2 linked regions of the Coturnix japonica genome follow. The protein of the gene in region 1 purifies or fractionates together with the protein of each later gene. This does not show direct contact. Links are inferred from orthologs where the notes say so. Each region holds a gene or a part of one and is shown on either strand. Other genes may lie near its edges.

Region 1 (2,645 bases):
CAAGCTGGGTTTGTGCAGACCCATTCCTCTTTTTGCTGGAATATGGGATCTTGTTACTGTAGGTAACAAGGCATTTGTACCTGGTTTATCTTCAGAACACTGTATGGCCAAGAACATTTTATACAGAATGTTACAAAATAATAATAATTAAAAAAAAAGCTTGTCTTGCTTTAAACCAGACTTGTACAACAGCAGCAGATGCCAGCCATCAGCACTAGACTATTGCAGCAGTCCAGCATGACTACAGTGTTAGCAAAGTACTTACAACATGAAACATAATCAAAGGCTCTGATCAAACAGAAAAGGGGAGGCATAGAACTGCTTTCCTCCTGCAATAAGCCCCAAGGCTCTTCTCTATTTTCTTTTTGGCATTGCCAAAGAGCAAATCCAAGGCTGAGCTCAGCCAGCAGCTGGTGGGAAGAGCTGGTGGAGATGATAGGTCACGAGGAATCTACAAGTAACATGCTGCTGCCTCCCTGTCAAGGAACCAAGAGAGGCTGGACACTCCCAAGAACAATCTTTAATCAAGTTATACAATATACAAAAGTTTAGTTTGCATGTAGAACAAGTTCAGTATTAAAATGCAGATTGCTCAGTCTCAACCTGGGCAGGTTAAATACATTAGTTGTACTGTGACAAAAGGAAACAAAGTCCAGAGCATCATGCACAGACATGTACAAAACTTACATGATCGTTCTGGGGAGAACCCCACGCTTTATCTCATTAGAAGGCCCAGGAACCTCCAACAAGAGGGTTGGTGTTTGAGTCAGGCTTTAGGCTTTGAAAAGTTAAGGGGATGGGGAAAAAAAAAGACTATATAAGTAATTTTAAAAAAACACTTTGTATTGGGAAGAGCAAGAAACCCCTTTGTGCACCACTCACAGTGAACACAGCACCATCACCACAGCATCAGGGGCTCCCTGGGGGCAATCAGAGTGTACCCAGAAGCAGGAACCCAGCTGTGTGATGGCAAGTTACAGTACAAGGGATGCTAATAAACTTCCCTGTCCACAGCTGAGCCGGTTTGGCACAGATGTTGGTTCCATCAAGACCAAAGCCTAAACGGAGGATTTCACACGGGCTGAGCCAGATTTTGAACTGAGGAGTTTCTCCACCATGGTGCGAGCATAGCGTAGTCGGCTGGCCAGCTCCTTGCAACATCCATGCTCTTCAATGAGGCTCAGCTTGTATGTGCGGAAGTCCCGTTTCTCATCTATATATGTGACAGCAGCCATTAGAGGGCACAAAATGACTTTGGTGTGGTCCTGTGGGGGAGGGAACACAAGGTCAGCACATTGCTCTGCAATGTTTTTCACTCCTTCGGATGAACCAACACAGCAAGGTCACCCCAACTGCAGGCCAGCAGCATGCTGACAAAGCACAACACTGCAGAAAAGCCGCAACAAGAAAGCTCTTACTCATAGAGTGAAGCAAAGGGAAACAAGTTCATGCTAAAGGAAACAACTACTAGATGAGCTAGGAATGGCTGGATGGCTTAAATACCAGCAAGCAGAGCAAGGAGCCTTCTAGTGCTACGTTCACAGGGCAAAGCTTCAGCTCAGGTTGTAACTGCCTGCAGGAATCACCACCTTACCACAAAGCACTGAATGCAGCAAGTCAGTACAACAGCCTCACCTGGAAGAAGTTGATCTGCACGGTGCCATTGCTGAGGTGCAGGATGATGGCACTGCGGGTCCGGAACCACGTGCAGAGGTAGGGTAAACGTGCCAGCTCGTCTCCTTCCCGAGGTGTAATGTTAGCACCTGCCTTCAGCAAGTGCTCGCTCATGTAGTTCCTGAAGTATTTCAATAGTGTTATCTGCAAATAGAACAGGCTGTCAACAGACAGGCTGAGGATGAGCCCTGATATCTGGGGAGAGTAGGAGCTGTTACCACAAATTGAGACTTATGTCTTTCAGAGCTTAAGGGGTCACTGCACAAACTGGTGCAAGTTCTCAAGCACCACCAGAGTTAACTTCACTGTCTGAGTACAAGACTCATTTTGCTGAATGCTTCAGCACATGTCAGCTTCATGAGAGTTTATTTATGTGAAGCTGCTCAGAAATGAGCTTCAGTTAGCAACTAGAAAAAAGCAAGATGCTGCCAGGAACTCTCTTTTGGGTCACATTTTACCAGCCAAGAGGAATCCTGCTGAATGCGACTCCCAGTAACAGATGTTTCCCCCCCCCCACTGTCCACCCTGATAGCAAAGCTCAACGAGACCTGCAGAAATCTCATCAGGAACAGCCACCCACCACCAAGGGCTCCTGTCCTCTGGACTGACCTTCTTATTCAAGGCAGAGGGGCAGGATCTCACAGTGAAGTAGGACTCGGTGTTGTTTTGCTCAATGTACTGCAAGCTGTCCCCATCATTGTACATAATGAGACGAGTGGAGTCATTGAAGAGAACTCCAACACTGTTGTCACATAATTGATAACCTGGTTGAAAAAAAAGCCTGTCAGACCTTCACACACATGGGACCCTTGGTTACATGAAATACAGAGCTGGATCATCTAGGGGATCCCTGGAGGCCACCTCATCAATTTTAAAGATCCTCCTTTTAACAGAGGTCGAGATGGCACTTTTTTCTCCTCTGGGTTTGTCACCCTCCTTTGCTGCATTATCTGCTGCATAAGCAACTTCAA
Region 2 (3,500 bases), on another chromosome or scaffold:
TGGTAGACTGCAGAGGTAGCCCTTGCCAACTTAAAAAGCAAGTATGAAAATGAGAAAGCTATGGTTACGGAGACGATGATGAAGCTGCGGAATGAGCTGAAGGCTTTGAAAGAAGACGCTGCTACCTTTTCTTCCCTGAGAGCGATGTTTGCTACAAGGTAAAGAATATCTGAACTCTGCAAAGTATGTCATTCCTTGCTTGTGTGGGGAGAACAGCTGAGCATCCTGCCACAAGCAGCAAGGCTGCCCATGCAGTCAGTGGCCGGGTGGGGTGCCCTTACCTACATTCATTGCTTACAGTGTTTGTCTGCAGTGTGTTCTTATTGACAAGGAAAATGCTAGGGTGCTGCTACAAAACAGGAATTTGATGTAGGTTATTGAAGTAATTTGAGTTACTGTCCCTGTTGGCCATTATCCCTGGCTCCTGAAGTCCTGAAAGCTGAGGGCTGACATTTATCAATGTCAAATTAGCGCTTCTTATTCAATGAAGATGTCGCTCTGCTTGACCTGGAGCAATCAAGAAAACAAACAAACAAACAAAGATGCTGGCAAACACAGATGTACGTTATTAGGTGTGTGTGTGTTCATATACATTACAAACATAAAAGGTTTTCTTTCTATCATCAGCTAAAAAGTACCACAATAAGGAACCACAAGGATGTTGGTAATGATTCCTGTGGCTTTTCTGTATCTTTCTTTTTGTGGAGGCGGTTCTGCAGCATCATGAATGTGCCCTGAGTGACCACAGGCTTCCTGGTGATTCTGTCTTTCTCAGCAATATCTTTGTATATGAGTAAGCATGAAAAGGCAAAATGTAAACTAAGGAAGCTGAAGATGGAGTTGTAGCACCTCATTATGTTGGAGAAAGCAAAGCCCTGCACAGCATGCTTTTGTCCTGCTCTCCTTTTTTGGAGTGTGATCTAACATGCAGAAATTGCAATCTCTTTGTAGCTTTGTAACCGCAGTATAAAGCTTTTTAGCTTTAATAGCTTGAAGATAAGAGGAAAGGAAAAAATATACTACTGGCTTTCAGTTTTTTATCCTAGATGCAGACAGCCAGCTGCCTGTGTTTTCCTACATGTTAATTGTGCTGCCTCAGTGCTTTAGTGTGATTGTGATTTGGAGAGGAAGATTTGTCAGAAACAGCAGAGGAATCATTCTTTCCCTGCCTTATTTTGGTGTGCTGTCATCTGGAGGTCGATTTTGTCCTTTTACTGGAAAGGATTCCATAGCATATGAGGAAGGCAGAATAGAAGTTCTCTGTAAGGGTGAGTTCATCTCAGTACTATTAATCATATAAAAACAAGACTTATCTGCTACTGCAAACAGCTAATGGAACACCTACTAAGTACCGTCAGTCTCATTCCTGCTCTGGCCAAGAGGTTCCTATCAGCAGAGATGAGTAACAAGTGGTGGGTCCCTTAGCCCACCATACCATTTTATGTTTGACCGTGGGATGAGGCAGACAGCTGCATACACCTCTATTTTCCACAGGAAACAACCGTTTTGTAGGATACAAGAGAACTGAAACAATACATGTGAGTTGAAGATTGGGCGTGAATAGAATAACTGACCTAATTTCCTTTCCAAACTAGAGTAATCCTACTAATGTGACAATACTGCCAGCTATTTTTAATAAGTAATGAAAATGCAGTGAGACCTGAGGCTGGAGACAAAGGAAGGCTTGCAAAACACAGATTAATGGCTTCCAGCATTAAAGGAGCTATTGAGAAACTGTTGGGGCATTCTAGACAACACCGGAAGCCTAAAATTAAGCTGTCACACGAAGGAATAAATCAAGATATGCACAATGTACTGTGGAAGTGCATTCAGTAGCTGAGTCCAGATTTTCTTAATCAACACACCTCTCCCTGCTGTACGTACCAATGGGCTGAAAGCACTGGGGGCTGGGTTCAAATCTGCCTGGAAATGGAATTTACCTGCTTAATGAGACTGTAACAGCTCTTGCAGTCACCATATTGCAGAATAGATTGCAGTTAATGAAGATGCAATCATTTCTCTGTTAAAAAACTCAAAGAGAAGTTGAACTTTGGTTTTTTTGTATAGTGTTGAGAGGAATGGAGAGTTCAGGATTAGGTCTTCATCTTTCGCTACCCCCTTCAGTGAGGACCTGAGAAAAATGTCCTGCCTGGGGATGATAGCTTAGGAATTGCTTCTACTCTAGTGGCATAAAATCATTAGTTTCGTCTTCTAAAATAGGTCTAAACAACAAAAAAGAAGATTTTCTTTTGAATTCTAGAAGCGGGAATTTGCCATAAAAGTTTATGATCTGTCCTTGAGTGTTTTTATCAGTGGAAGTTCAGAGCGACTGCAGTACCCAGCTGTGTGGGGCTGACTGTTCCCTCTCTGTGCAGGGCACAATCCTTCCCACATGTTTGAAATTATAAGAGATTTATAGTTTGATTAATTCCTTTAATAGCTTTTACTAATGGACATTGATTACACATGGCTGATTGTAAACAATTTAGAAAACAAACTATAGCTGCTTATAAATTATACTATGTTTATAGTGCAGATGTCATAGACACTTATAAATGCAATAGCATTTATTATTTTCATTACACAACTCAGATGAGTTTTTAAAGCATGGAGTTGCAAGTGAGCAGCTGGCTGAAGTTCCACCAGACCTGCTTCTACCTGCTTACCTATCACCCTAAGCTGGCTGACCCTGAGCTGTTCTGTCCTTTTGTGGTGAGATGGTGACAAGTCTTTATTTAAACCTTGGCCTTCCAGTTAACAATCTAAATTGCATTCATTGTAAACCTTGTCCTCAGTCCTGGTCCTTGCAGTATCCGTGGAACTCATCTGCATCTGCCACCATCACAGAGCAGAAGGCTGCTATTGGAGGGGGAAGGTGAAGGAAAGAAGGTGTTAAAATTCAGTCTTTAATATTAATTTCTAACATAAAGAATGAGTTTGGAAGCAGGTGGCTAATATCCCTTACAGCTGAACTCGGTCAGTATTCATTTACATGTCATTTTAACTGCTGCTCTACTAACACGTTTCCATATTTTAAGGAAGATGAAAAACAGGGAGTTTAAATCTTCTGTGCCCTGATTTCTTACGTAGGCTGACAGCTTAATCTCTCCATGTAGAAGTGGGAGCAGTCGATGCTCTGGAAGCCTCCTTCAGTCACACCTCAGTCTTACTTGCTTGGAAATGGTGTTGTGGGCCTCACACTGACTGCAGGGGAGGGGTGGGAGGTTTAATTATATCCAGGTGCATTTGGTTACATCACTTATTTGCAGAACGATCTTGAGTCAGTAGTGAGTTCAGCTATAAATGGGACCACGTGCCGAGGTTTAAAGAAGGTAATAAGTAGGAATAAGGAAAAACTGGCACTGATCAGAGGTAGTGATGTGCAGCCTTTTCCTGTGGTAATATTTAATGTTCAGGACTCTTATTTCCACTGTGTAGGTATTTGTTTTTGTAGTTGGTTGTTTTTAGAATCAAGCGAGTGTTTCCTTAAAGTCTTCGTT

The links.
Region 2: the proteins of PLK1 (region 1) and BICD2 purify together in Homo sapiens (affinity purification with mass spectrometry; 6 studies listed by BioGRID and IntAct, counting the BioPlex papers as one, with this or other methods). This does not show direct contact. The link is inferred for Coturnix japonica from reciprocal best matches to the Homo sapiens genes PLK1 and BICD2.

What each region holds. Positions count from the first base shown.
Region 1 is NC_029529.1:6,814,039-6,816,683, reverse strand, and holds the end of PLK1 (serine/threonine-protein kinase PLK1), read right to left. Parts: intron 2,439-2,645; coding exon 2,284-2,438; intron 1,819-2,283; coding exon 1,636-1,818; intron 1,266-1,635; coding exon 1,059-1,265; 3' UTR 501-1,058; downstream 1-500. UniProt on the Homo sapiens protein: Serine/threonine-protein kinase that performs several important functions throughout M phase of the cell cycle, including the regulation of centrosome maturation and spindle assembly, the removal of cohesins from chromosome arms, the inactivation of anaphase-promoting complex/cyclosome (APC/C) inhibitors, and the regulation of mitotic exit and cytokinesis.
Region 2 is NC_029527.1:4,843,338-4,846,837, reverse strand, and holds part of BICD2 (protein bicaudal D homolog 2), read left to right. Parts: intron 1-6; coding exon 7-158; intron 159-3,500. UniProt on the Homo sapiens protein: Acts as an adapter protein linking the dynein motor complex to various cargos and converts dynein from a non-processive to a highly processive motor in the presence of dynactin.